Linked DNA regions of Sus scrofa. The protein of the gene in region 1 interacts with the protein of each later gene in a pairwise test. Links are inferred from orthologs where the notes say so. Each region holds a gene or a part of one and is shown on either strand. Other genes may lie near its edges.

Region 1 (10,038 bases):
TCCACAGCCTTATGTCTCAATCCTAACTCTAGACAAACCACTTATTTATTCATGTACTAAGAATATTTGCCCTTATGGTTCAGGGTAGAGAAAGGACTTAGAAACCACCCAATCCTCTCCAATGCTCTAATCCTTTGCAGTACCTCACATTTCACACCAGGGCGTGTATATATATATACATATATATATATATATATATATATATATACGTCTATCAAGGATTGTGAAATGGAACTTAAAGGGAATGAGGAAACGACGTCTTGGATGGTCAGTGGAACCAAACTGGAATTCCTTCCATGCGGTATCTGTGATCCAGAGCTGCTTGTCTAAAAGTTGTAAAACATAAACCAGTGCTGATAACTGGGTAGTAAACATGCAGATTTGGACAGCTCAAAGATCAAACATGAAATCCCCCATACTGTAAGCCTAGGCAAACAACCTACTCTTTCAGTGTTCCTCAGAAAATATGATGGACTCAATCCTGGAAAATCCTGGTGTATGGATTACCTTATCACAAGATTCAAACGGTCTCTTTAGACCATAGAGGCCCAGTTCAAACAAGTTTATGGGAACTGTTCTTATTTCTTATGCACAAGGAGGACCTGTTGAAGGTTCTGCTGAAGATTTTATTGAAGAAACAACATATCAAGTGTTTGGATTTAAATCTGCTAGCAATATCAGCTAATTTTATTCTTCAGCTACTAAGACAGAAAAACAGCTGAGGGCCTGAGGTTTTTCTGATTACCAAATGAGCTGGTGATTTCCACAGTTTAAGCAAAACCTAATTCTACAACTTAAGTGGAAAAACAGAATGTTTTATAGGCATTGATGCTGAAGGTTTCACTCCAGGGAGATTAAAGAAAAATGGGAGTTCCTGCTGTGGCACAGTGGGTTAAGAATCTGACTGCAGTGGCTAGGGTTCCAATCCTGACCCAGCACAGGGGGTTAAAGGATCCAGCATTGCTGCAGTTGCAGCGTAGGTCATAGCTGTGGCTCAGATCTAATCCCTGGCCCAGGAACTTCCATATGCTGTGGGTGAGGCTGTTTAAAAAAAAAAAAAAGAAAAGTAAAAAGGAGTATATATTTAATACTGAATTAATACCAGATAAAAATTGTGTGGGTTTGTTTGTTTTTGACTTTGAGGGCCATACCCATGGCATATGGAAGTTCCCGGCTAGGGGTTGAATCGGAGCTACAGCTACCCTCTACAGCCACAGTAATAGGGTATCTAACCTGCATCTGTGACCTACACCACAGCTCATGGAAACACCGATCCCTGACCCACTGAGAGAGGCCAGGGGTTGAACCAGCATCCTCACGGATACCAGTCTGATTTGTTTCCATTGCACCACAATGGGAACTCCAGAATTGTGTGCTTCGTAGCTGTCTCAGGAAGCTTTTGGTTTTACAAAAAAAAAGAACTTGTATGATTTTGAGTTTAAATAAGAACTTCTCAGAGTCCCAGGTGGCCTAGTGGTTAAGGATCCAGTGTTGTCACTGCTACACTGGGGTTCAATCCCTAGCCCAGACACTTCTGCATGTATAAGCCAAAGAAAGAAAGAAAGAACAAACGAACTCCTCCCCCTGTATGCTCAATGGACCTACCTGCTAGCCCTTTTCCTGATAGCTACAGGGGAATAACAAAGCTTAAGATATTTTTCCCCAAAGCAACCTATTTGATATCATTGTTTCTTTCAACTGTAACCAAAGCTCAGTTCTTGGCTCTGTAATTACTACTTCCACAGTTCTCTCCTCACACTCTCCTTCCCTGTCATTATCCATTGCCCTCAGCCATCAAGAATGGAACCTTTTTTGAGCACAGAAATCCATTTTTCCCCTTTTAGCTCGCTAATCCTAAAGCGGTGCCTAGCAAACAGAAGTAGCTCAATAAATACTTGTTGATGAAAGTAAGGAGAAAACTGGGCGTACTGTGCAAAGTGCCTGTCTCAGCAGAAGAAACAGAACAGAGGCAAAATACTCAGCAGAATGGTAGCTCTCAATTACTTTTCCAGAATTGTCCTCTCCAGCCCAAGAGGCAGCTGTGAATCCCAAGACTCCCAGTGTAACAAGAGTTAAGTAGTTAGTTCTACAAGAGGCTTTTGCAGCATGCGTTGTGAGAGATCTGGGAGTCCGCATGTAGGGCTCCATCTAAGAACTGTGCTTATTTTCCCTGGGGAGCAAAGTACACGTGACAAGGTTCTTGTGCATGGGTAACCTTGGGGTGAATCAATAACATTCTTGAAACATTCTAAAACACAATCTGTACTGGTTGCCTTCCATCTAAGTTTGCTTCTAACAATTCTAGCCAAACAGAGCTTTTACCACTTCTTTAGCAGCCTCCAAATTGTACCAAAACCAGATTGGCTAAAAATTAACTCATTTGTGGGGGAAAAAAGCACCCCTCCCCTGGACTTCCCCAAGACACAGACATTTGAAATCTATACCTTCTTCAACTTATCAAGCATTAACTACTGTCTATCTTGTATAAATGTCGACTAGGTTTCACAAATCATTTTTGGGCTGTCTTAGACCTATTAAAAAAAAAAATCGTTTAACTAAAGAGATCAGAGAACAAATAGCTGAGGCCAATGACTTCTACCCTGACAAAGCAGTGACCATTAGATAAGGCTTGTCTTGTCTATGACCTACAAGCTATACCGCTTAAAAATTACGAAATCTCATCTCTCAGACCAATGAGGCTTGATTTGTGGTCTAGAATCCTGTTCTCCATTTCTAAAAGTGAAATCAGCAGCTTAAATACTCAGTAGAATGTTGCTATTAACCCACAGATAAGGAAATTAAGGGGAAAAAAGGTGTTGGGGGGGCTGCCCTTGTGGAATGTGTAAATTCCCAGGCCAGGGACTGAACCTGGGCCACAGCAGTGACCCAAGTCACTGTAGTGACAATGTCAGATCCTTAACTCGCCACAACACAAGGGAATGCTGAGGTTTTTCAATTAACAGAAAAGAACTAAAGGAACTTTCTTTTCTTGCTATCTCACACTGTTAAAAAAAAAAAAAATCAACATAACATAAAAAGTAGTGAAAGTCTGATTCAAAGTAACATGCAAAAGTCAGGAAAACAATGGTTTGTAATTAAATATACTAATCCTTTCTTTTTATCCGTAAATAATGATTTGACTTGTTTGAAATTTGTAAAACTTTAACATACTCAGGTTAATCAGCAGTAATATACAAATTATTTCACTTTGCCTGAGAAGACATGGGGAAATGACTAACTTAAGCAAGTGAAAGAAATGACATGTATCAACCTCCTCCATTGCTTCGTATCAAAATCAGGGTCCATCAGGGCACTTTCTTCTCTAGGCCGTTTTATTTGTGGGGGGAGGGGGCACATTCTCAGCACACAGAAGTTCCAGGGCCAGGAATCAAACCTGCACCAGAAGAGCAACCCGAGCCACTCTAGTAACAATGCCAGATACTTAACCTGCTGAACCACAGGGGAACTCTCTAGCCTGTTTTTTTTAACCCTCTTTCCAGGTCCTTACATACAGCCATTGAATGCTGCCAATTGAAAGAACCAGCTTACTCAAGTAGAACAGTGCTGAAAACAATCCAGGCATGATATTAATAAGCTTTAAATAGACACTTTGGAACGTACTTGAGGTGTGTTCTCAAGAGCTCAGAATTAAACTGTATATGAGATTATTGTTTCAACGGAGATCGCTGTACAGCGTTCCTTGACATAACACAAAGAGAACAACGACCCCAAGTTAAGAGTATATTGAGTGAGTCTATATCTTCTTCCTCTCCTTTTTTTTTTTTTTTTTTGGCTTTTTAGGTCCAAACCTCCGGCTAGGGGTCAAACCGGAGCCACAGTACACCACAGCCACAGCTATGCGGGATCTGAGCAGAGTCTGCGACCTACACCACAGCTCACTGCAACGCGGGATCCTTAACCCACTGAGTGAGGCCAGGGATCGAACCTGCGTCCTCATGGATCCTAGTCGGGTTCAATAACCGCTGAGCCACGACAGGAACTCCCCTAGATCATCTTCTTAATTGGTTTGTTTGACACCATTACCTCCTCCCACCAAGCAATTAGATACATCACTAAAATTTATTACACTAAAATGTCTACGGACTTCTCAAGACTGGAGTCAAGCCTGGAAGGAAGGAAAACAGAAAACAACTGGAATGCAGCTGAAATTAAACGTTAAAGTATCTTTCATACTGTGCCTTGCGCTGCCTCATGGGGGAGGAGAGTACTCCAGCTGCGCTTTGAGAGAATCTCAAAGGAACAGACATCAATGTTGTCCTCGTGAATACCAGAGCAAATCTAATTCTGATTTCTAAGCGTGGTTAGTCTTTGAAGAGACTGACACCCAACTTCAGCTTCCTAGGGGAGCAAGTTCCACAGGTTGATACACCATTCTATTAAACCTGATTTTTATTTGCTCTTAAAGCCTTTAAAATGAAGCCTGAAGACTTAAATTAACATAAGCGGAATGGTCAGACGTCCTCAACGTCTGTGCTAGAGGGGAAATTGTTAGATCTGACATGATGTCTTCAGACCTAGTAAATCCTCAAGGACTGACATAGCTTGGAACCACGGCAAGTTTGCCGCAAGGGCTTCCTCCGCTGACACAGGGAACTCCCAAAGCTCCAGATGACCCCTCACCTGATTGAATTCCTCGTCAGCGTATATATCAATTAAATCCACTCCTTCTGACATGGTTCCGGAAGAAAGATCTCGAGCCCGGAGAACGCACAAGGTAAGAAAGATGCCACTGCGGTATCCAGAAAGAAGCAAGAGTTAGAAGGCATGAGGGTCCCGGGTGGGGAGGAGGGCATTGGTTGCCAACCTCCTGTCTCCAGAGACGCAGCATCCCGGCAGCCCAAGCTCGGCCCCACCCGCTCCGCTCCGCCCCGCCCCCGGCCTCGCGCCGCCCCTCGCTCTCCCAGGCCGCTGGGGCTCGCGGGGCTCGCTGCCCATCACCCTCGGGCCCGACCAGAGTCGCGGCGCGGCTGCCCGTAGAGCGATGAGAAAGTCCAGGCCTCTGTTCTTAGGGGCCCTCGGATGGCGCTGCGAAGAACGACCGCGGCGAAGCCCGCAGCCTCAGCCCGCCGCACCTGCCTAGGCCCCAAGCGGCCCCGGCTAGAGTCCCTGCGGGTACCAGCGCTCCAGCCACCTTGGCTCCACACCCAGGCCTAGTTTCTCGCCCCGGGGTAGGCCCGCCCCGCTCCCTCCCCACAGACCCGGCCCGACGCCCTCGGCCCCCTCCCTCAAAGGCCCGCGCCTCCCGCCGCCCGCCAACTCCCGCTGCCCCAAACTCAACCGACCCCCTCCCCGCCTCGGCGCCGTCCCCGAGCCCTCTTCCGGCCCAGCCGGCCCCCGGCCGCGCGCCCCCGTTACCGGGAATATGGCGGCGGCGGCGGCGAGTCCGGACTAGGCCCGAAGCGCGCGAACCGCTCTCGGTCCCAGGTCCCGCCCCCCCCGCCGCCGGCGTCACACGCACAGCCACTTCCGCCATGCGCGAGGACGCATCTTCCGGCTCAGACAGCGTCGCTGTGCCCGGAAGTTCCCGGAAGTGGACGGTCCGCAAGCTTCCGATGCGGGACGGGGGAAATGGCGGTGGCCACCGTATTCCCGGCTCTTTCGCGGGTGAGGAGAGTGGAGGTTCTAGGGTCCTGAGCAGGACACAGTGGGAACTGTGTCTCGTCTTCCTCCGCAATCATGGAGTCCGCGAGAAGCATAGAACTGCTCAATAACCCAGGGCAAGGGCAGACCCAAGGAGAGGTCGATATTGCAACGTAGGAGATTCAGGTCGCATCCATCCTTGCCTGAGCCCACTGTGTGCAGGTCTCGTGATATCGTTGACCGATCAGTCTTCGTGGAAGACCTAATTTAGATTTCACCTATTTCCCCACAGCCTTTGGGCACCCCTTCTCCCTGTTCTTAATTCTCTGTGTTCTTTTTCGGTCTTTTCCAGTATCTCTCATGGTTTGACGTAGCTTCATACGCTCTTTCTTTTTGGCTATAGGCTGTAAACTTCTCTCTTAGTACTGCGTTTGCTGAGTCTCATAATTTTTTGATGTTGTGTTTTTGTTTTTCTCCGTATATCTTCGAACTCCTTTTTGATTTCTCCTTTAATCTAGTGGTTGTTCTAGAATGACCGTGTTGTTTAATTTCACATATTTGAATTCTCCAGTTTTTACCTTCTGCTGTTGATTTCTAGTTTCATTCTGTTGTGGTTAGAAAAGATCTTTTATGATTTTAGTCTTTTTGTTTCATAACCTGTTTCATAAACTAATATGCTGTCTATCTTGGAGGGTGTTCTCATTGTATTTGAGAAGAATGTGCATTCTGCTGCTGTTGGATGGAATGTTTTGTATATGTATATTTGGTCCATTTGGCTTACAGTATTCACATCCTCTTTTTCCTTACTGATTTTTCTGTCTGGATGGTCTATCCATTACTGAAAGTGGTTTTTGAACTTTCCAATTATTATTGTGTTGCTGTTTATTTCTCCCTTCAGTTCTGTCCATATTTGCTTCATACATGAGGGTGCTTTCATGTTGGTAGCATGTGTATTTATAATTTTTATATTCTCAGGGTGAATTGACCCTTTTATCATTATATTATGTGCTTTAACTCTTGTGACAGTTTTCGACTTGAGGTCTGTTTTGTCTTTTATAAGCAGGGCCATCTCTGCTTTCTTTTGGTTACCATTTGCATGGAATATATTTCAAACTTTCACTTTCAGCCTACATGTTCCCTTACACCTAAAATGAGTTTCTTGTGGAGCTCCCATCCTGGCTCAGCAGTAACGAACGCAGCTAGTATCCATGAGGACTTAGGTTCAGTCCCTGGCCTTGCTCAGTGGGTTAAGGATCCAGCATTACCATGAGCTGTGGAGTAGGTCTCAGTCATGGCTTGGATCTGGTGGTGTTGTGGCTTATGTGTAGGCTGGCAGCTGCAGCTCCGATTTGACCCCTAGACTGGGAACTTCCATATGCCTTGGGTGCAGCCCTAAAAAGCAAAAAAATATAATAAATTAATTAAAAATAAATAAACATAAAAGTCTCTGTCTTTTAACTTAAAAACCAGAATTAAAAGTGACTTAGCCACCATCGTTACCATGTCCCGGTACCCTGTGTTTGTCATGTACATACCTTACCAGTGAATTTTATGCTTTCATATGCTTTTTCTTTTGCCTTTTTTTTTTTTTTTTTTTTTGCCTTTTCTAGGGCCGCTCACGTGGCATATGGAGATTCCCAGGCTAGGGGTCTAATTGGAGCCGTAGCTGCCAGGCCTACGCCAGAGCCACAGTAACTCGGGATCTGAGCCGTGTCTGCAACCTACACCACAGCTCACAGCAACGCTGGATCCTCAACCCACTGAGCAAGGCCAGGGATCGAACCTGCAACCTCGTGGTTCCTAGACAGATTCGTTACCCACTGCGCCACGACGGGAACTCCTCATATGCTTTTGTGTTACTAACATCCTTTGGATCTTTTGGGCTTCTTCAATTTGGATGTCCATTTTTTCCCCCCGGTTGGGGAAGTTTGGTGCCATTATTCCTTTAAATAAGATTTCTGTCCCTTTCTTTCTCCTTTCTTCTTCTGGGACTCCCATAATGTTTATATTGGTCTGCTTGGCGATGTCCCGTAAGTCCCTTAGGCATACTTCACTGTTTTTCTCTCTTTTTTCTTTTTCTTCCTCTGTGTAATTTCAAATGTCTGTCTTTGAGTTCACTGATTTGCTTGATCCAGGCTGCTCTTTAATCCCTGTTGTGAATTTTTCAATTTGGTTATTCTTCAGTTCCAGAATTTGGGGGTTTTTTGTTTTTTGTTTCCCTGTCTTTTTTAGGGCTGCATCTGAGGCATATGGAGGCGATTCCCAGGCTCGGGGTCGAATTGGAGCTATAGCCACTGACCTGCACCACAGCCACAGCAAAGCAGGATCTAAGCCCCATCTGTGACCTATACCACAGCTCACAACAACGCTGGATATTTAACCCACTGAACGAGGCTAGGATCGAATCCACGTCCGCATGGATACTAGTCAGATTTGTAGTATCCATAATGGGATACTCCCAAAATTTGTTTTTTTAAAATATTTCTCTGTTGATATTCTTATTTTGTTCTGTATTGTTTTCCTCAGCTCATTGAACATTTTGATGACTGTTATTTTGGGCTCTTTGTCAGCTAATTCATAAACCTCTGTTTCCAAGGTTGGTTTCTGGAAATTTATTTTATTGTTTTGATGAGGCCTTCCTTGTTTTGGTGTTTTTTTCATGTCCTTTGCAACTTTGTGCTTAGACCCATGAATTTGAAAAAACAATTACCTTTCCTAGTCCCTTGGACCAGATTTGTACAAGGAAAGACCTTTGCCAGTCAGTCTGGCTAGAGAATCTGGGGCCTCTCAAACCGTATATGTGGAAATATCTTCTCTAGACTTGTGTGCATGTAAATTCCCAACTGGAGGAATTTGCTGGCTTTTTCAGGAGCTAATAATCTCTTGCTCCCTCTAGTGTCTGTTTTTGGTGCTGCAAGCCTTTGCAGCAGCCCCCAGTCTTCTGGTGTATCCTGTTTTCAAGTTGGCCAAGACAGAAAGCAGTCCTTTGTGCTGCCCCTTGAAAAGCAGGCGCTTTGGATGCATGCTCCTCTCCTTTCTTTCCATTGGTCTCTCTGTCTCTGTACTGTGAGTCCTTAGGAGCAGCAGCAACCTGCCCAGCCATTTTTTGTTGTTGTTGTCATTTCCCTCTTTTTTAGGATCGCACCCATGGCACATGGAAGTTCCCAGGCTAGGGGTTGAATCCGAGCTGCAGCTGCCGGCCATGCCAGATCTAAGCTGTGTCTGTGACCTACACCACCGCTCATGGCAACCCCAGATCCTTAACCCACTGAGCAGGGCCAGGGATCGAACCCACATCCTCATGGATATTATTTAGGTTTGTTACTGCTGAGCCACAATGGGAACTCCAGTCTTTTTTTTTTTTTTGCCCAGCTTTCTTTTATTTTCAGAGGCACCCCAGGTATCTAGAGCATGCTGGGTCCTGTCAGGACTCTGAGACAGGCAAGACAGAAACCATTCTCTCAGGCAGCTCCCTAGAAAGCTAGAATGGCAGACACACATCCTAACTCTTCCCTCCCCAGAGAGAAGCCAGGAGTTGGGGCTTTTCTTCTGCTTGTTCTGTGCTGAGCCAGGGGTAGGGATGATAGTGAGTGTGTGCCAGTCCAGACCTTCACCTAGATCTCAGCAGCCCCCAGCCTGGCACCCTGTCACACTTGGATGCAAACAAGACAGAAGCTAGTCAAAGAGGCATCCCTGAGAGGCTACATGTTGGATGTATGTTCCAGTCTTTTCTTTCCCCTTCTCAGGGAGAAGCCAGGAGCTGAGGGTTTTCTCTGGTTACACTGGTCCGGGCCAGGGGAAGGACCATGGTGAATGAGTGCTGTGAATTTTCCTTCCGGCTATAACACAGCTGATTTTTTTTTTTTTTTTTTTTTTGTCTTTTTGCTATTTCTTGGGCCGTTCCTGCAGCATACGGAGGTTCCCAGGCTAGGGGTGCAGTTGGAGCCGTAGCCACCAGCCTACGCCAGAGCCACAGCAACACGAGATCCGAGCCACATCTGCAATCTCTGCCACAGCTCACGGCAACGCTGGATCGTTAACCCACTGAGCAAGGGCAGGGACCGAACCCGCAACCTCATGGTTCCTAGTCGGATTCGTTAACCACTGCGCCACGACGGGAACTCCAATACAGCTGATTTTATGCTCACCCAAGGTTCAGGAGCCTCTTCACTGGCTTCTGGATTTCTCATAAAGGGAATCAGTCCGAGTATTGTTGGGGAGTTGGTGTCTCCATGGGAGAAGAACGTGGGGCTTCCTATTATTCCACCATCTCGCTGATGCCACCACCCTCTCATTGCATTTGATAGTTTTAGCTCTTCTCTAGATTGGGAGATTTGGGCGGATTAGGGACCATGACATCACTGTATGCTCAGATTTTAACTCAGGCAGGGGACTAGAATGCAAACCATGGTGTAAAAATTTTAAGGGAATGCAAAG
Region 2 (10,245 bases), on another chromosome or scaffold:
TCTGACTCGGCCAAAAGCGCGCAAGGATACAGCATAACAGAACGACCGTTTACAGCTGGTGGAGGTGTAAATTGGGACCACCAATTGGAATTACCCAGTAAAGTTAGACATTTGCATTTCTGGCAACCCTGCAATTCTATTCCTAGGTATATACACATGCAAGGGAAAACGTGTTTCAGGAGATATATACAGGAATAACTGCATCATATCTGCAAATAATTCGGAGTTCCTGTCGTGGCTCAGTGGTTAATGAATCCGACCAGGAACCATGAGGTTGCAGGTTCGATCCCTGGCCTTGCTCAGTGGGTTAAGGATCTGGCGTTGCTGTGAGCTGTGGTGTAGGCCGGCAGCTACAGCTCCGATTTGACCCCTAGCCTGGGAACCTCCATATGCCTCAGGAGCAGCCCTAGAAAAGGCAAAAAGACAAATAAATAAATAAATAAATATCTGTAAATAATTCAAATGTCCATCAGTGGAAAAGTGTAAATAAGACAAACACCGTAGATAAATACACTACGATATACTCATGCCCCGGAATACCATACAGCTGTGAAACCACCCAACTGCAGCTACCTTTGGCAATACGAATGAATCTTCCAAAGGTAATTCTGAGAAACAAAACATACTATGTGGTTTCACTCATAAAAGTTCAAAAATAGGCTAACCTAAACGGCATTACTTAGAGAGTCACAGAAAAGCGGTAAAACCATAAATATGAGTAAGGAAATGGAGACCACAAAAATTGAGAGTTCCTGCTGTGGTACGCAGCAGCTCTGGTTGCTGCAGAGGTACAGGTTTGACCCCCTGCGATCCTTTAACCCAGTGCAGTGAGGTCAAGGATCTGGCATTGCCACGGCTGCACTGCAGGTCACAGCTGCAGCTTGGATTCAATCTCTGGCTTGGGAACCTCCATGTGCCACAGGTGTGGCCATTTAAAAAAAAAAAAAAAGAAAGTTAAAATAGTGGGTTTGGGAAAGGAATGTGAGAGCAGTAGGAAGCCTTCTGGGACACCCACAGTATAGTCAGTATAGTTGTTATATGGGAGTCTGGTTTATAATTTTTTTTTTTGTCTTTTTTGTCTTTTGAGGGCGACACCTGCAGCATATGGTGGTTCCCAGGCTAGGGGTCAAATTGGAGCTATAGCTGTCGACCTACGCCACAGCCACAGCAACGCTAGATCTGAGCCGTGTCTGTGACCTACACCACAGCTCACAGCAACACTGGACCCTTAACCCACTGACCGAGGCCAGGGATGGAACCCACAGCCTCATGGTTCCTAGTCAGATTCATTTTCGCTGTGCCACGACAGGAACTCCTGGTTTATAATTTATATATACATCCTATTATATTCTGTTCTACTATATATACCCACCTTATAGATATATTTGCTACATATATATATATCTACATATATCCCTACTAAATATACCCCTAGTGTGCATATATGTATTCTTCACATACAGTAATATATAGCTAACATCCTTACTATATGAATATGATATATGTCACTATTATATGTTTTTATTATTAAGTATTTTTTAAGTTAAAAAAAGATAAATCCCCTTTGCTGCTCTCACAGGGCTGCTGAAAAAATATGCACCAAGACAATGGATGTGACAGTGCTGTACAAGCAGTAGTTGGTGTTATGACTCACCCACCCTTTATCCCCAGATTTCTGAAGAGGTTGCTGCCTTTCCCATCTCCAGCTCTCTGCCCATTCCCAGTCTAGGACTTCACGCCTTCCCTAGCCTGCCCCACCCCAGCCCTCCTCCCCAACACAGCTGGGCCTACGGTTCCTGTTTCTCTGCTAGGATCTGCGCATCTGTGTCCCAAGGTGGGGGTGATCTATCCTGCCTTCCATCTGAACTAGCTTCTCAGAGGTGTCCCCTGTCCTGCACCTCAGACAGCGCTGCACATACTGAGAAGCCCCACAGCAGATCCCAAGGCAGCAAGGCTTGAGGCTTTGCCCTCCTTTCCTCCCCTAACCTCCCTATGCCCACAGGAACTCTGGCTGAGCCCAGGCAAGGGCATGGGCAGGGAGAGCCACACTGCTGTGGTGGAAGCTGTGAAAAGAAGAGGTCAGGAGAGGAGGGAGTGAGGTGAAGCCTTCATTCAAAGATCACTGGACAATCTGAGGGTCCTAATTAGCTATGGTGGTTTCAATTCCAGGACACACTTAATTGCAGCATCAACCCAGGACGCAGCCCCTTGTGACTCTGACTGCAAGATCAGTCCTTTCAGCCCCCGAAGGAAGCTTAGTGATCTCCAAATCCAGGCCTCCAGGAAGCCCCTCAGACGCTGTGCTTTCTATCAACAAATACTAGATCCCCACTTCCTCTCCTTCATGGCCACTGGACAAATCCTGTACATGAGCTGGGAGAGGAGAGGGAAAGAGGGTTTGCCTAGCCATAGAGCATCTTCACAGCCTGACTCACAGGCAGTCACAAGCCTGGCGGGTGATGCAGGAGAGAGGACAGAGAAGAAGCACAATAATACCAGGAATACATGGCTTCTGGGGATACATTTGAGGGTGAAATGGGTGAGAGAACAGTGACCCTCAAGAGACTAGAAAAGGTGCACTGGTAAGGTGAGAATGAGGCAGTAAGGAAGAGAGGAGTGAAAGGACAATGAGAGAACTAGGAACATTTAGGAAGTGTGTATGTGGATTAAGATGATGTCTGGGTCTCCAATTGTGTTTCCAGGCTCTTGATTCACACCTCATTCTTTCTGCTCATTTTGCTCCCCAAGTTGGGTGCTTTGCACACATCCTTGCCTCATCCAAAAGCTGTCCTTCATTTCCCCCAAGGACAGGGTTGCTCTCCTCCCCTAGCGACCTTGATGTGGAGGTACAGCCTGATGGGGACTGTGGAATAGCCCCACCCCCTCTCTTCGTCCCTTCTCTCTGGTGGTCACCTGGGCGGTGGCCGTGCTCCTGCGTGGCTGCCTCAAATCACTTTTGAGTCTCGGCCCTGCCCGGCCGAATTCCTCCTTCAGCACCAGGGACAGCGATCAGAGCTGTTGTCTGGACACCCCCTCCCCCACCCCCAGCGTCCCTATTTTCCCTGGTCGCCTGCCCTGCTGAACTAGGCAGGTGCTGGGGACGGGAATGGGGTCGGTGGGAGATAGCAGAGTTCGGTTTCTCCCTCAGATTGACCCTGAGCCTTGAAATATGATAAAATTTCCCAGATCCCCAGCAAGCAGGACTGGAGGAGGCAGCGGTCCCTAGTTCCTGTATTCCCTGTGGTCCAGGTGGGGTGCCGGGTTCCTGAAATGGGAAATCCAGGTCTCTGTTAATCTGCTTGTCCCTTCCAGCGCCCCCAGCCTAAGAAGTCAGCCAGGATCTCCAGCTGGGGACCCTTTGCCCAAGAATTCCCGGGCTAGGTTGGGGGAAGTGACTGTCGGCCCCCCAAGGGACCCCTGGGCCGGAAATGAAGTGTCTGTGGAGGGTGGGGCTGGCCCGGCCCCGTGCCCCGGCCCGTGGAGGTAGGACCTGTGTCCCCCGCCCTCCCTGCCGGACCCTCAGTACCGGAAGTCGCTGTAGGGATGGATGATCCAGGCCCCCGCTGACTTGACCCGCTCCTGCTCGATTTCCACTGCTTTGTGGCTGCCGAACACACGAAGGGAGAACTTGTTGACCGTAGGCTGGAGCAGCGTCCCGAGCTGCCTCCTCTTGGGCTCAGGCCCGGGCCCGGACCCAGGGATCGGACCGGAGGCCGTGGTCGTAGACGCCGGGGCAGCAGGAGGCGCCGCCTCCAGTCCAGGGGTCGCCCCGTCGCTGGTCCCAGTCGGCGGCCGCTGCTCCGCCTCCATGACGCCTGTCGGCCTACACGTTTGGCCTCCTATACCCTGCCGCGGCCATTCGGGACCCCCGACCCTTTCCGGAGTCGGAGCGGGAGCAGCCGGGCTGGCTCTGAGCGGAGGCGTAGTCGGCTAGGAACTGCCGGCGCGCCGGCGGAGGGGGTGTGTGCGACAGACTCTGCCGCGGGTGGCAGGGGGGTTGCGCTGCGCCCCCTGGCGAGAGTTGCGGGAAGGCTGGGCAGGGCGGGCGGAGGTGGGGCCACCGAGAGACCTCCCGGGAGGGGGCGGAGCCAATAAAGCCTGTAACCGGAGGGATACCGAGGTGGGTGTGGCTTAGCCAATGTGGGCGGTCCCTCAGGTGCAGGGAGCGTAGGAGAACGCGGCCAGTGCCAAGAGGGCGTGGCCTAGAGCTGCGGTGCCTTTGACCACGGAGTGCCGGGGAGGCGGAGCCGCCTGAGATCCGCGGGAAAACCGGACGCCGGTTGTAGTTCGTATGGCTCCGGAGGGCGAGGAATTGGGAACCAATGGAAGAGGCAGGGATTCTTTGGGGATTCTCCTTCCTAACGCTTACGGACTTCCTGCATTTCACTTTTTTTTTTCTCTCAGCACTCTCCTAGGCATATTCTTAAGGATCTCCTCGTTACTGCTCCCCCGAGTATTTCATTTCTGAATTCATCTGCCACCTTCACCACAAGCAACTCGGCCCATCACTGAGCGACCGCTGAGGATACAAGGATGAATACAAAGCCCTAGCCATAAAGGCACTGCTCGTCTACGCCCGCAAACAGAACAGGTAAATTACAGTAGTATGTGAAGTAAATTCTTCCCTTTATCTCCATTTCTTATTGCCTCCGACTTATTTCAAGCCCTCAGCATTTTTTCACCCAGATTATTTCAGAAGCGTCTAAATAGGTCTCTCAACTCTCAGGCCAATTCTCCTTCCAGAGTTAACTTCCTAAATCTAAATGTAGCTATCTCACTTGCTTAATATCCTTCAAACTTCTTAGTGTTCTATAGGATTACGGTTAAATTCCTTAGAATGACAACACAAGGCCCTGCAAAATTTAGACCTCTCTTTTCAACAACCTCCCTTCTGATAGTCCCTCTCTTGAAAGCCAGGACTCCAATTCTGTTTAAACACTTCATTTTGCTTTGTCTCCAGACTTTTGTAAATACTTTCTCTGCCTAGCACTCTCCTCCAATTCACTTTCCATCCATTGGTTCAGATGTCATCTCCTCTAGGAAACCTAGAAACACATTTATAACTCTCCTTTCCCAAGCTAGGGTTGTAGTCTAGAGCTTTCTTACAGTGGCCAGGGCACCACTGTTCATAACAGCTCTTAGCACAAGGCTGCCATTATTTGTTTACAGGTCTTTCCCATTATACTATGAAGCTCTGAAGAACAGGAGCCTTGAGCCTGGCACAGTGCTGGACAGAGTAGGAACTTAATAAATGCTTTTTGAATGAACGAGGGAAAGTGTACACGGAGAAGGAAGTGAGGTTCACTTTCCTCTCCACCCCTTCATTACCCTTCAGCTTCTATTTCAAGAAACTTTTCCTAAACCATTTCTGGCCAACTGATGAAAAATTCCTTCTGACTATCCTCCACCCTGACTCCTCTCTGTTTCTTTACTTGAATATAGTTATCCTCAGGTTATTTTTCATTTTCCTAATTACTGCTCAATTCCTTCTATAACATCTGTAACTCTACCCAGTTTTTCTCGTCTTCTGCTTTTTTTTTTTAATTCACCAAATTTAGACTTATCATATATTATGTGTAGGTATATAACAAAGTTCTCAAGTGATTTCCCCTTCTTTGGCACCTGAATCTCCACCCCTCCATTTCTCAAACCTTTCCTCCAAAGCCATTACCCCCCTCCCCCATATACAGAACGTGCACCAGCTTTTGTTCAGGACAAAAGATGGGAACCCCTCTTTGCTGTGGTTTGGTAGGCGAACTGTTTCAAAAACAGGCTATGATGGAGACTCACACCTCACCACCAGGCTTCAAAAGGTTTGCGGAGCGATGACATTCCGTAAACCACAACCCCTTCCTTTCAACCTCCAAACCTAACAAAGCAAGCCACATAAGTCCCACGAAAAGGGTCAAAGATTGAGGAAGGATACGGAAGAACACCAGGCGAGGCAGCGCGAGCCCAATAAACCGCTTCCACTCTCTCCCCGCCCCCATGAGCTTCCGCCCCCAGCACCTCCTCGGCTCTCACCGGACAGCAGAGAGCTACGCTAAGACGCGAAGGCGTGCGCGGTCCTGGGGGGCGGAGCCTAGGGGTAGCTGGGAATCGACGCAGGACGTGCGTGCGTGCGTACGTGCTCGCTCGCGGTGGCGGCGGCGGCGGATCGGGGAGGCCAGAGCCGGAGACCGAGCTGGGATCGGGCCCCGGGCGGGGGCGGTGCGAGCGGCGCCAAGCGGATCCTGGGGGCGGGCACGGAGCCGGGGCGGGCGGGACTGGAACGGAGCCCGGGAACGAGGCGGGAGGTCCAGGGTCTCGGGTTGGGGGGGTGGAGCCGCACTTCGTCGCCGCGGGGGTGCCGGGACTCCGGCCGCAGTGCCGCCGCCATCACGGACTTCCTGTGGGACAAGCGCACGGGCCTCGCCGCCAGAACGGTGAGCGCGCGGGCTGGCGGGCCGCGGGGCCGCGCGGAAAGATGGCGACCGCGGGGCGGACGGGGAGAAGATTGGATTGGGGGCAAGGGACCGGGGCGAGCTTGGGGGGTGGGGTGGGGCTGAGACGTGCGAAGTGGCAGAGGTGAGGAGTAGGAAGATGAGGTGGAATGTCGCCCTGTCTTAGATGCATTGGTAAAGACCAATAGGAAAGTTAGGAGGGACCAAAGTAGGAGAAGGGGTGATGGAGTAAAGATAGGAGTGGTTGCAAAGATGAGAAAGAATAGAAATCTCAAAAGTTGGGCCAAAGCTGGAGAGGTTGGAAGACACCACCATGTCACTTGGAGGCTGTGGAAAGAGTTTGACTCTAGGAGTTAGTTCTGGATTTTCTAAGTGAGAAAGAGAGGAAAAGATTAGAAGTGGAGAAAGATTGTAAGCTGGAGATAGTTGGGGGGGAGGGTTGGAAGGAGGAAAGCCTGTGAGGGACTTTGGTGGCACTGTGTATGTAGTGAGATGACATGTGCGTGGCTGTGTTAAGCAAGGTTGGGTTATCGGGGAGAATCTTGTACTTGCGTCTTCTTGGCTTCCTGCAAGCCCTTTTACGCCTGGAATGAATCAAATGCCACCCTTCTCTTCAATTTGAGAAGTAGCTCAGAATGGAAGCCAGATGTTGGAATCATTAAGCCTTTTCCACACCTAATCCTACCACTGCCACCCCCAACAAGGTGCACCTCTGTCCCTGGCCCATGTACTTTCATTCTGCCCTGTAAGTCTCATCTTATTGGTTCCTGACAGTAATTTTCTTTCCTTGAAGGAAAAAAGAATTAGTGCACCCTGCCATTCCAATTCCAGTAACTGGAAGGTGGCCGGCTTTTAGCCAGGCAGTACTGATAATAATTAAAAAGCAGTTATTCGGTACTTCCTAACCCAAAAGGGAAGGGGCTGGGTGGAAAGCTGACTGCAGCTTGGGGCCTCCTGGATTAAAACCATTTAAGGACGATTTGGCCATTGATGTGAGAAATGTTCAAGGGGCCAGACCCAGATCCCTGGAACTTGCTTGTGTTTGGTATATATACTATAAGTGGAAAGCTGGAAAACTGGATTCTTACCCTCAGGATATAGATGGCCTAGTTGGGGAGATAAGATACACTAATGATTGTAAAACACCATAATAGCATATAGTGAAGCATTATTCATTATAGTAAAGCACAATAGCGAATGCAGCGTCGCACACATCCATCCAAAATCTCAGCCAAAGATGAGCTGTGGCCATCTTCGTCAATTACGTAGTCTCACCTGTAATGAGCTGTGGCCTGAATGTTGTCATGAAGCCATATTTGAGGAAAATCAGACTAGAGCAATGAACTCAGTGGAGTGAAGCTTCCTAAAGCTGTCAGCCAGAGTTATTAGGTGAATATATACTCCATTAAGCACAGAGGAAGCTGTGGGTGGTAAATACAGGTAAAAATTGAAGAACAGAAAGCAGCTTAGAAGAATTCCTGCTGTGGCACAGCGGGTTAGGCATCTGACTGTAGCAGCTCAGGTAGCTGCGGAGGTACAGGTTAGATCCCTGGCCTGGCACGGTGGGTTAAAGACTCTGACATTGCCACAGTTTCAGTATAGGTCACAGTCGCAGCTGGAATTCAATTCCTGGCCTGGCCCAGGAGCCTCCGTATGATACAGGTCCAGCCATTAAAAAAAACAAAAACAAAAAAACAGCTTAGCATCTCTGGAGGAGTCAGTCCTTGGAAGGGACGCCTGAAAACTCAGAGCTTGCCCCACTATTTCTGTTTATCCTTCCTTTCTAGATGCCTCATCCTCGAAGGTACCATTCTTCAGAGCGAGGCAGCCGGGGGAGTTACCATGAACACTATCGGAGCCGAAAGCATAAGAGACGGAGAAGCCGCTCCTGGTCAAGCAGCAGTGACCGGACACGGCGGCGCCGACGGGAAGACAGCTACCACGTCCGTTCCCGGAGGTGAGGCCTCAGGAAGAGAAACTCATACTTGATCCACTCATTCATTTGTTAAATTGAACAAAGATTTATTGGAGTTCCCATCGTGGCTCAGTGGAAACGAATCTCACTAGTGTCCATGAGGATGCAGGTTTGATCTCTGGCCTTGCTCGGTGGGTTAAGGATCCGGTGTTGCTGTGGTTGTGGTGTAGGCCAGTGGGTACAGCTCCGATTTGACCTCTAGCCTGGGAACCTCCATATGCTGCAGGTACAGCCCTAAAAAGACAAAAAGAGGAAAAAAAAAGATGTATTGGTTTCATGCTTAGCAGCTTGTGGATGTTTATGCTCAAAATGGGTAACAAGGAGTTCCTGCTGTGGTGCAATGGGATTGGCAGTTTCTTGGGAATGCTGGGACGAGGGTACACTCCAGCCTGGCAGTGGGTTAAGGATCTGGCGTTGCTGCTTGGGTCTCAGCTACGGCTCAGATCTGATGCCTGGTCCAGGAACTCCATGTGCCTCAGTGTGGCCCCCAAAAAATGGATAACAAGGGAGTTCCCATCATGGTTCAGTGGAAACGAATCCGACTAGTATTCATGAGGATGCCGGTTTGATCCCTAGCCTCAGTGGGTTAAGGATCTGGTGTTGCAGTGAGCTGTGGTATAGGTTGCAGACATGGCTCAGATCCTGCATTGCTGTGGCTGAGGTGTAGGCTGGCAGCTGTAGCTCCAATTCGACCCCTAACCTATGGGTGCGGCCCTAAACCCCCCCCCCAAAAAAAAGATAACAAAACAAGCCATTTGTACTGTAATGTTCAGTGTTATTACAGGAGTTTCTGCTGTGGTGCAGTGGATCAGGAATCTGATTGCAGCAGCTCGGGTTGCTATGGGCATAGGGGTTCTATCCCCAGCCTGGCACAACGGGTTAAAGGATTCAGCATTGCCGTAGCTGTGGCAGAGGTTGCACAGCTGTGGCTCTGATTCAGTCCCTGGCCCAGGGAACTTCCTCATGCCGCAGATGCAGCCATTAAAGGAGGGGTGGTTATCCCAGAGGAAGTGTGTCGTAAGGAGCCGAGGAAGCATCCAAAAGGTTTGATTGGAGTGGGGCAAGAACTGTTGTTCAGAGAAAACCTCCCAGAGATGGACATTTAAGCTTGTCTGAAAGACACGAAAGAAGTGTCCCAGGCAGAGGGAAAGCAAATGCAAAAAAAAAAGACTAGAGGCTAGAGGTTGCTAATAGACAAGACAAAGTTGGGGCTGCATGGTTTGAATAACTCAGCAGCATATTCCATGGGAGGGATGGGTTAGGGATAGTTTGGAGCAAGGCTACATGTCTGTCAGGAAAGGCTCGTGAAAGAAATGGCTCTGTTCCATTGCATCCCTAATGGGGAGGGGGGCGCCCTTCACAGGGCGTGGTTATACAGATGTCTTCAGAGCTTTCGGGGACGTGCAGCTGTGGGGATCTTCCTTTTTGCTGAGTTACCTACGTCACTGCACTGGGCCTTGGTCCTCTCTTGAGAGTGACTTGAATGTTTGAGGGCAACTTTTTCAGGCGTCACTCCTTGTCTTCGGTGATGGGGAGGGCCTTGTCACAAGCTATGGCCCAGCCAGAAATGTGGCCTGAACGAGTGTACCTAATGGGTGTCTGTTGCCCAACAGCAGCTATGATGATCGTTCATCGGACCGGAGGGCGTACGACCGGCGGTACTGTGGCAGCTACAGGCGGAACGACTACAGCCGGGATCGGGCCGAAGCCTACTATGACACAGACTACCGGCACTCCTTTGAGTATCACCGGGAGAACAGCAGTTACCGCAGCCAGCACAGCAGCCGGAGGAAGCACAGACGGCGGAGGCGGCGCAGCCGGACATTC
Region 3 (10,313 bases), on another chromosome or scaffold:
CACATGTGTAAGATGCTACAAAGAGCCAAGAAAGAGTTCTGACTGAAGACAGAAGTGCTCTCTCAGGTGAGGGCCCTCTGAGGAAAAGTCTAGTCCTGACTAGATCCTGACTTATCTCCGGGTTGAAAATCCCCTCTCTTCACCAGGTGTCACTTTATGTCTGGGTAAGATGAAGACAGACCAATTTTATTGCTCTTTCTAGATTCACCTCTTAGTGATGAACACCCTTTTGGCAAATGGAAAAATCACCAGAACTGAAGACAGGTGTTTGTTTCTTTCCAGCATTCCACCTGCCAGCCGCTCCAAAGCCATGAAAACCTTCTGGCAAATCCTCTTGCGAGGCTCCTCCCCATAGGACTATTCCCAGTGAAATGGAGTTACCGCCTCCGGCCCCATCCCACCTCTCTTGAACTTTGCACTCGCTGTGATAAAAAATTAACCCAGCTAATGTTTCCCGTCCAAGGACAACCTCTGCAGAAGCTGGCCAGGCTGGGCCCCAGCAGACCAGGCACCAGATCAGAGTTCCTACCATCCAGAGCCACCCACCTGCTCACCGACCGAGGTCAAAGGAGCATGTAGGGTCCTCTTGGCCCCCAAAGAATCCAAGCCTCAGCCCTCCTCACTGCTTTGTGTAATTGAGCTGACTTCCCCAACTCTTCTAGTGGAGGAACTGAGGAGGCCAGAGGAGAAAGAACTGGCCCGGAAGTGGCACTTGTTGGACTCACACGTGGGTCTGGTGGTGTTTTTCTGCATGTACAGCTGTCCCTGTCCCGTGGGTGCCAGCATATGAAGGCAGTGCAGGACAGCATGGTTCAGCCATGCTAACTAGCTGCTGACTAGTTACTGCCTCCCCTCAGGAAGACAAGGGGCCCTTCCTGTGCCATGATTCAGAGGCTTAGGATCATGACAGGCCCGCCCAGTGCATTCAATCCTCGATCTCTCTTAGGCTCCTGACCTCCAGAGTGCAAACTGCCCTTCACCACACCTGGCATCTGCCTGATAAAATGAAGGGCTTCCACGGATGGAGAACAGCGTTAGCGCTCTTTCTAGGTTCGTAATAAGAATTGTGTGCTCCATTCTTACAGCTGAAGAGAACAGATGCTCAGTGTGGTGAAGGGAGAGGGAGAGCTAAGATCGAAAGCCAGGTCAGTCATGATGAAGCCGGAGGTCCTTTGACTGGATCTGACTGCCTCTCAACAGTTGGACCTGCCTGATTTGATCTTCAGGTTAAAAGGAATGTTTTACTGGGATGATGGCAAGGGCCCTTTTGCAGGCACACAGCTAGGGAGCTCCTTAGGTTAGGGACCTAAGTTCTTTCATTGGATTCCCAGCAGTGGAGGTGCTCCATAGACATAAGTCTAACCGAATGCTGCCTTCCATTCTGCTTGGCTCTTTACTCTTCATACGGAGTTCCTGGGCCAGGGATCAGATCCAAGCTTCAGTTGCGAGGCACTGTGCTGGACCAGGGATTGAACCTGCATCCCAGCACTCAGAGACACCACTCACTGATCCCGTTGCACCACAGTGGGAACTCCCCCAAGGCGTGTTTCTATTTCTTTACAGCACTTGATGTTTGCAAAGCTTTTCCCATTGGATCCCCACAACCACCCTAGGAGGTTGAGAGGAAAGCTACTTCTAGCCCCATTTTACAGGTGAACAAACATTTCTTGTAGTATCACAATAGTGCACCTGTGTAAAGAACTTTTGTGTTGCAAAGAGCTCCATCTGTGATGTCACCTTCACCCTCCCAGCTCTGTAAGGCAGCTGGCTGGGTGCAGTGGCAAGAATGTGGACCGAGGCCTCACAAGTCACTGGGTCCCAATCCCAATTCTGCCCTGGGAATCTCGAGTACATGTTATAACCTCCAACCTCAGGTGCTTCATTTGTAAATGGGAGGCTGGGGGACATTTACCTCCAGAGCCACTGTGAAGACAAAATCAGAGGAAAGCACTTGGGCTACCTGGAAGGAAGAAAGCCATCAATAAATGTTGATTGCCTTCCTCCCTGCTCTGGTCTGAGGAGGGCTGGGAGGAAGGGAGTGAAATGAGATGACGCTGGCTGCCAGTTAGCTTGGGGATGGGCCAGGAAGGGGAATCAGGTCATTAAGCCCGGGTTGGGGTTCAGGGATTCCCCCTTAAGGTCCCAGCAGGCGGGGAGTTAGAAGAGAGGAAGACAAGGAGCCCAGTTAGTGCTCAGCCCCAGTGCGGACAGGCTGGTAGGAGGGCAGTCACTCCTACTTGCAGGGGTCCCTGCGCTTCTGGGCTGATTTTGTGGATTAGGCCACACCTCACAGAGCTTTGTGACTCCCCACCCGCCAGAGTTTGCAGATAACTTCTTTCTCACCACAGGAGTTTCCTGCTGTTAAAAACAAACAAAGGCTAGAGGCCTGGTAGGGGAGGGGCAGCAGGAGAAAGGCCCTGGGGTCCTGGGGTAACTCCTGAAAGCAGCTGCAGGAGGGGTCTGGGGGCAGATGCCCTTGAATTGTGCTTCTGGGGAGAGAAGCCCCAGAGGGCCCCCAATATCTTGGTATTTCTTTGCTTCCCACCAGAGCTAATTTGGAATACATAAGGTTCCCCGGTACTGCCCTCTTGCCCCACTTTTTTGCAAGTTCACAGCTTTGAAAACAAAGCTCTTGCCTTCTATTTATAGGGTGTTGAATTTCGGCTCTTTGCTCATCATAAGATTCCAAATACCCTGTAATGAAACTTTTCCTCCAAAGATAAATTCTGAAGCGCCCCGTCCTGAACTCAACGGATACCTTTGAGGCCCGTTTTCTGCTGGGCACTTGTTTCCCAAGGCCCCTGGGACCCCCTGGCTCCAGTTATTATACAGGGAGTCACTAGGGTCCCCGAATCTCCACTTCTGAGAGCGAGCCCCTTCCTAATCCCTCCTTCGCACGGTCTCGGGGCTCTAAACCGGTAAGATCTCACCGGTGCTAGAATTAAAGGAGCCCTAGAGTCACCGGCGCCACCAAGGTCCCTAACCGGGATTCGCGTGCCCGCATACCAGTGCGCTGCCAGCCTTCCTGGGCCTCAGCTTTGCGCACGCCCTCTCTCGGACCCGGGTCCTCCCAGGGATGCACGGCCAGCCTGCGGCCAGACGTCGTGCGTTCGTGCGAGCCTAACCCTCTCGGGCCCGCCACGCCAACTGAACTTTCTTAGTGTGGGTTCCGAGAGCGGACGCCACGGCCCGAGCCCGGCCCTCCCGTCCGGGGCCCCTCTCGCCGCTCCTTTCCCACGACTTCCTCCCGGCGCCCGCCGGATTCAGGTCAGGGCCGCGCGGGGTCTTGCGAGCTCCAGCCAGGTCCGCCGCAGCCCCCGGTCGCCCACGTGGGCGTGCTCCGCGCCGGGCGGGGGACGGCCCGGCGCCCTCCCGGAGGCGGGGGGCGGGCAGGGCGCCCGCGGGAGGAGGCGGCGGGGCGCGGGGGAGGAGGCGGGGAGCCCCGGCGGCAAGGGGGCGGTGACAGCGCTTGGAAAGGAGGCTGCACGCGGATTTGCATGAAACACAGACTGGGAGCGGGCGGGAGCGGGAGCGGGAGCGCGGCGCACGCCCCGGGCCGGCCCAGCGAGCGAGCGAGAGAGCCGGGAAGGAGGAGGGCAGCAGGGAGGCGAGGCTGCCGAGGCGGAGGGATCTGCGCATCAAAGCGAGCGAGGCGAGCAAAGTTTGGCTGAGGGTTGGACTTTCCTTCCTGGAGGCGGCACCCAAACAGCCACCCCGTGCGGAAACCCAAACTTTCTTCTGCCACTCGGAGCCCCGCGGCCGCCGCCTCCGCCCCGCGTCCGGGGCCTTCCCGATCCCGTGCCGCTGCCGCCCGCCCTTCTCCCCGCCGCTCTTCTCCTCACCGAGGGAGCCGCCCGGGGCACAGGGCCGCACGCCGAGCCCCGCAGGCTGCAGCGCCGCGGCCCGGCCGGGAGCACCGGCAAGTTCGCCGAGAGTTGAGGCGAAGTTTGGGCGGCCGCGGCCAGCCCGGCCGAGCTCCCCGCTGCGCCCCCGGCGTTCCGCCGCGCCCAGCCCCGCCGGGGGCGCCCCTCGCCGCCCGCGCGCCCTCCCCAGCCATGTCGTCCATCCTGCCCTTCACGCCCCCGATCGTGAAACGCCTGCTGGGCTGGAAGAAGGGTGAGCAGAACGGGCAGGAGGAGAAGTGGTGCGAGAAGGCGGTCAAGAGTTTGGTCAAGAAGCTCAAGAAGACGGGGCAGCTGGACGAACTGGAGAAGGCCATCACCACGCAGAACGTCAACACCAAGTGCATCACCATCCCCAGGTGGGGGCCCGAGGGACCCTGGGGCGCGCCCGCCCAGCCCCCTGGCGTGGCGGGGGGTTGGAACGGAGGGGTGGCCTGGGTGCCCGTGTGTGTGTAGGGGGGGGGCGGTGGGAACACAGACAGGAAAGCGGGGGACCCCAAACAAAACCTTCTCTGGATTTGCAGAGATTCAGAGCCTGAGGCTTCCACACGGCATTCGCGCTCCCAGACCTCGTATTCGCTTTTCACCTCCGGGAAAGCGGGTGCTGCTGGAATCGGCGGCCCCCACCCCGGGGGAGCTGCGGGCTAGAACTTGAGGCCCGCTTTGTTCAGCTCCGCGGGCCGGAGCCCCTCCTCCGCCGCCGCCTCCCGCCCCCGCGGCCCGCGCTCGTGGAGGTGGTGGTGTCTCTCCCTTTCTTTTCTTCATCCCTGTCCCCCCACTTCTTTCCTCCTCGGCAGGAATGCAGTCCGTACAGCTGGGGCTGTGGGTGAGGAGCGGGAGCCTCGTGATTGACAGATTCCTTCTTCGTTCTCTCTTTGCCTTCGGGATTAGCATTTTTATCGAGTATTTTTAGATTCGGTTGTGCCAGTCTCCCGCCCCCTCCGCACACACACGCACTTTACTTGCAGTGGGGTGGTCTGACTTTCAAATGAGAGAGATAAGTGGCAGAGGGTAGGGTCTTCTCCCCCGACTGTTTTTTGGCCCACCTTTCAGCCATAGATTGCGAGTGGCTGCAAAACGCGGGGGGCTGAGAACTGAGGAGATAACAAAACGCACCCCAAAGGGGGGCCTCGCCTCGGCCCTCGCATTCCTACAGAGCCTTCCTTCCCAAAGCGCTGTGCCATCTGTCTGGACCTCCTTTATCCTCCACTTTGCGCTAGCTAGGTCAGGCGGGAGCTCACAGATGGCTGATAGAAGGGGTCAGTGACTTCTCTCCACTCCCCAGGGCCTTCTTTTAGCTTCGCTGCGCCTGGCTGGGAATTGGGGTGTGGGGGCACCATAGTCTCCTGTCTTTCCCTCTCAGCCAGCCCCCTTTAGAAGTCCGATTCTGCTCCAAGGGAGTGTGTGTGTGTGTGTGTGTGTGTGTGTGTGTGTGTGTGTGAGAGAGAGAGAGAGAGAGAGAGAAAGTGTGTGTGTGGGGGGGCAGGGTGGGGTGGGGTGGGGGAGATGTCCTTTGGGTCCTGGGCTGCAGAGGATTGAGTGGAGGGTCCCCAGGGCCTGCACCCCACAGAAATTGCCATCCTTGCTGCTGGGGCCAGGAGTGAACTCCGTCCTTGGCCACCTGCTTGGGGCAGCTGTATAAAGGCTGCCAGCCGTGTCAGGCAGGCACAAAGCAACATCTGTCCACGGGAACCCAGGGCAGGCCTCCCCTGGAAATAAATGCTGCATATGGTGGGAGTGCTGACTTGAAAAATAATAATTTTTTTTTTCAAAACTGGGTGGATCCAGTCAATAAAGCGGGAGGGAAGGCAATGTGCTGTCTGGGAAGTGTGTTCTGGGCGTGTGATCAGGAGCCAGAATTGACTTCAGAGGAGGTGGTGTGATGTGATGGTCAGTGAGCCCTAGGTCCTGGTCCCAGCCCTGGTGCTTAATTCTTCTTTATTCCTTTGGATGAGGGTCAAGGAGTAGGGCGAACAGATGTCATACTTCTCCCGCCTGGGGAGGGGTTTGCAAAACCTGCCTTCTTACCTGTCTCGGTGCCTTGAGGGCAAGGGCTTTATGCCTTGAAACAGGAAAAAAAAAAAGTATCAATTATAAAATGAGCAGCTGTGTAAAGCGTTTTACAGTTTACCAAGGTCTTTCACGTGGTTTTATGAGAGCAAGAAAAAGAAACTCCTGGAAAATAGATAAGGCAATTAGGCCTAAGATTTATCTTGTTTTTAAAGTTGAGAAAACTTTGGAGGCGAGAGGTGAAAAAGCTTGGTGTAGTAACGGGATTCTGACCAAATGTGCTCCTTCTGCTAGGCCAGGCTGCTCTGCACTTTGAAGCTTTGGAATACATTCTTTGCTGACCGCTAAAGCTGTGTTAGCCAGAGGGATGGGCCCCTAGGATCTTTGTTGGTAACATTGCCAGTGTCGGCCTCTGGGCTAGTGACAGCCTGGAGGAGAGGCCTTGTTCTCCCTTGCCTTAGTAGGAGTTTGCCCTCTGGGGAAGCACAGCTGTGGTCTGTCTTTTCCTCTTTCAAAGTCCTCTGCAGCCCGAGGTATTGGACACTTCAGGTGTTTCTGAGAGTTCAGGTTAACTTGGCCTTCTCATGATTCTCTTAGGACTGGGCCGTCTTCTACCTGTCTGGCAAGGACCTAGTGCTGAGGCAGATTTTTTTTTTTTTCCATCTTTTTCAATTAGGGAAACCCAGTCGCTTGGGTGGATCCAGACAAAGTGGATTTCCATCCCTGGTTTTTGTGCCCACGCCGCTGGGTCACCTTGTCTCCCTTGGCAACTGCTGCTGCTGTTTTGGTCGTGGGCTACAAACTAAAGGCCACATCTTGGGGAGGTGGCTAGCTGGCCTCACCCCAGGGACATCGGTGTGTTTCTGAGCCCCATAGATTGTGGTGTTGCTTGTCAAATTGTCTGCTCTCTCCCCGCTGACTTTTATGACTAGGGCTTTGGAAAGTTGACAAAGGGAAGTGTTTAACCTAGTTATCCTACTGTGTGTGGGAGGTGGGGCCCTGGGTTCTTAAAAGTATTCTGCAAGATCTGGACCTTGGGGTTTAAGGAGCCTTCAGTCTAAGGAGATTTTGACAAGCGTATTTTGGCTAATATGTAATCATGAGCAGCAACAGCACGGTTTGGCAATTAGAGCTGTTAACTCGGGCCTCCCAGACTGCACACTTGTGTCTCTTGCCCCGTCTCTAACCTGTCTCAGTGATCAGGACAGCTGGAGTGAAACAGGCTTACTGACATCAAGAACGTAAGAGAGACAGGTGCCAAGGCTGTGGTAAGAGCTTAATTTAGATACACCAACAGAGGGGCTCTCAGGATACTCCGAGGTCTGGCAGGATGGGCAGAGCTTGGACAAGTTGTGTAACAGCATCCTACTTGTCACCTGCTTGAGTTCCCGAGTACAGCTGCAGGTATCTTCCTGACCAGTTGATAAGAATGGACTTATAGCATGTCCCACAGAGCAGTCGAGAAGGTATGTATATGTTGTGTCGGTGATCAAGAGCCTCGCACACACTTAAAAATGACTGTTCTAGACTCACTGCCAAGGGGGAAGGGATGGATTGGGAGTTCGAGGTTAGCAGAGGCAAATGATTATGTACAGAGTGGATAAACAACAAGATCCTGCTGTGTAGCACAGGGAACTATGTTCAGTATCCCGTGATAAGCCAGAATGGGAAAGAGTATGAAAAAGAGTGTATACTTTAGAAATTAACACAACATTGTAAATCAGCTATACTTCAATAAAATAAATTTTAAAGAATAGGATTATTTGAAGAAAAATAAAAAAGACTGTTCTGATGGATAGCAGTAACTTGTCTTCCCACCGATGGGATTCCTGCCCAGGCCCAGCTGTTGAGAGCGGGACCATGCTTAAGGCCTGGTTTGTCTGGATGGGAATTTGGGCTTTCTTATGTCAAAGCACCACGTCCAGAGGGAAATGGGGGAATTGAACCAGATGCCAGGTCTGACCCCCACCCTCTCCTCCCTACCTGTGCATCTGTTCTCTTGGCACCGCCTCCTCCTATTACCCACCTAGACTTTGCCAGGCTGCTCTCACCCAAGGAGAAAGAGAAAAGACCCTTCTCTCTAACGCTCCTTCCTCAGACTTCTGGGGACACACCAAGGGTGCAGGAGTGGCCTCTTTAATCCCCTCTCCATCTCAACTTCTCATGTCTTCTCCCCTTTCTCAGCTGCTGCTCAGAGCACCATCCTTGGGTGGCCCCCCAGAAGCAAGCGCAATTGTGGCTGCTGGGGGGTGGCCCACCCTCTCCTCTCTCTTGTTCCCCTTGATTAGGGGAGTTCCACACAAGGGCTGGGAAGAGGAGGGACCTGCAGGCCATCAGGTAGGTGACTGTGTAGCTGAACCTAGGAGCCATCTGATGTTCCCCTGACATTTGGAACCTTGGCATGTGCTGCCTGTGCTTTTCGGAGTTGAACATTTGGGCCAGTGCTTGTTGCAGACAGCCCCTTGCTCACGGTTCCTAATCAAGGGCTCCAGGGTTGCATTTTGTGAATTCATCGTTATTTTTTGGTCTCTCCCATGTCTGTGTCAATATTCCAGGCAGGGGGCGGGGAGGATGCCGAGATAAATTTGAGATGGCTCCTGCCTGTGAGGAGCTTACACTTCAATAAGGGAAACATTAGTAAGGTGTTATCTTTGAGTGTCTATTTCTCTTATTCCCAGCCATCAGAAAAAATAAGAACTCTGGGAGGGAGTGATATTTGGGGGGAGTGTGGGAGATTTGTGTTGTGTGTTTTCAATATTGTGGAAGTCACTATGTTAGAAAACAAAACAATGACAGCTATCTGTATTCTCCAGAAAAAAAGCACAGAAGTCAGGTCCTGTGTCTTGCTGTTTTAATACCTGGATGGATTTAGCAGTTCCCTTAATGTCTTAGAGCCTTCATGTCAGCACCTGTAAAATCAGGATGAGGTAAAGCTTGTGGAAATGTTTTTAAACCAGAGTTTGACAGATGTGCTCTGTTTAGCCTTCTATGTATATCATTCATTCATTACTAAATTATTCAGTCATTCATTCAATACCTACTTTGATGAGCAGGGAAGGGCACCTGTTCTCCAGGGGGGCTCCCTGTCTGGAGTGGGAGACAGACTTGGGCCAAAATACAGGCCATGTATGCAGGAGCCACCTTGGTATTCATAGAAATTACTAAGAATTATACTTTCTTTAACCTATGACCAACTGTACTTATCAGTGACATTTTTTTTTTCAGATTTTTGTTGCCACTGGTTCCCCATTTATACTGATAGGCTAATAGACTATTTACACATTTTATGCATTTCGTGGGTCCTTATTTTCTCTACGCACCAGTAATTTCCTTTGACATAGTATATTAATAAAGTGTACTCTTATAGCTTTTGGGGGCAGGAGCAACAGTGACAATAAATCATTGGGTTTATGTCCAAAAAAAAAAATATATAGGGCATGAGCTGCAGCCAAGGGATGTTCAGAGTGTCCAGGGATGTGGGAGACAGACTGTTCATTCTGTGGAGGACATGGGGAGAGGAGGGAGGGGTCCATGTGAGGCAGGAAACCGAAACGAGGACAGGAGTTCTTATCCGAAAGAAGTTTCTGGACTGTAACACCATCATGCCAACTTTTGGGTTCACGGTGATAGTTGCCTCCAAGAATGAGGGTATCTTTATCTTCCTCCTCTTCCAAAGCAGAGCACTGCTGTGAGTGTGTTACCTCATAGTTTGCGCCGAATGGCTAGTGCCTTGTGTTCAGCAGTTTATTCCACTGCCAAGTGTTCTCTCTTTGAAGTAAAAAAGTAATTAATATTGCAAACCTGAAATTCAGGTTTCCTTGGTGGGCATGGTGATGGTAGATATCTTAGATCAGAATATAACAGACCCCATATCGTTAAAAAGTGGGCAACTCAAAAGAAAAAAAAAAAGGGAGTTCCCGTCGTGGCGCAGTGGTTAACGAATCCGACTAGGAACCATGAGGTTGTGGGTTCGGTCCCTGCCCTTGCTCAGTGGGTTAACGATCCGGCATTGCCGTGAGCTGTGGTGTAGGTTGCAGACGCGGCTCGGATCCCGTGTTGCTGTGGCTCTGGCGTAGGCTGGTGGCTACAGCTCCGATTCAACCCCTAGCCTGGGAACCTCCATATGCCGCGGGAGCGGCCCAAGAAATAGCAACAACAAAAAGACAAAAGACAAAAAAAAAAAAAAAAAAAAAAAATGGGCAACTCAGAGGTGACCGTGGATGCTTAGAATTTCAGAGTTTTGGTGGGGCTTGGGTTTTCATTTCTCTGGTTAACACTTGCGGAAAATAAGTCCTGTCAGCCTGAGGTTCTGCATGGACATAAGAGCCTTTAATCATGTATCGTAAAAAATCTTGGCAAGGATGTAAAATTTTAAATGACAATTCGAAGAACAGAAAAAAG

The links.
Region 2: the proteins of CPSF7 (region 1) and CLK2 interact in binary tests that used the Homo sapiens proteins (3 or more experiments, as listed by UniProt). The link is inferred for Sus scrofa from reciprocal best matches to the Homo sapiens genes CPSF7 and CLK2.
Region 3: the proteins of CPSF7 (region 1) and SMAD3 interact in binary tests that used the Homo sapiens proteins (3 or more experiments, as listed by UniProt). The two-hybrid records come from large-scale screens. The link is inferred for Sus scrofa from reciprocal best matches to the Homo sapiens genes CPSF7 and SMAD3.

What each region holds. Positions count from the first base shown.
Region 1 is NC_010444.4:10,083,053-10,093,090, reverse strand, and holds the start of CPSF7 (cleavage and polyadenylation specificity factor subunit 7), read right to left. Parts: upstream 5,511-10,038; 5' UTR 5,495-5,510; coding exon 5,304-5,494; exon of another isoform or gene 4,906-5,303; intron 4,751-4,905; coding exon 4,642-4,750; intron 1-4,641. Other genes in the region: SDHAF2 (succinate dehydrogenase assembly factor 2, mitochondrial), read left to right, coding at 5,590-5,625.
Region 2 is NC_010446.5:94,554,037-94,564,281, forward strand, and holds the start of CLK2 (dual specificity protein kinase CLK2), read left to right. Parts: upstream 1-4,248; 5' UTR 4,249-4,591; exon of another isoform or gene 4,592-6,069; intron 6,070-6,124; exon of another isoform or gene 6,125-6,425; intron 6,426-8,230; coding exon 8,231-8,400; intron 8,401-10,031; coding exon 10,032-10,245. Other genes in the region: HCN3 (potassium/sodium hyperpolarization-activated cyclic nucleotide-gated channel 3), read right to left, coding at 3,527-3,810. UniProt on the Homo sapiens protein: Dual specificity kinase acting on both serine/threonine and tyrosine-containing substrates. Phosphorylates serine- and arginine-rich (SR) proteins of the spliceosomal complex.
Region 3 is NC_010443.5:164,994,584-165,004,896, forward strand, and holds the start of SMAD3 (mothers against decapentaplegic homolog 3), read left to right. Parts: upstream 1-3,873; 5' UTR 3,874-4,055; coding exon 4,056-4,261; intron 4,262-10,313. UniProt on the Homo sapiens protein: Receptor-regulated SMAD (R-SMAD) that is an intracellular signal transducer and transcriptional modulator activated by TGF-beta (transforming growth factor) and activin type 1 receptor kinases.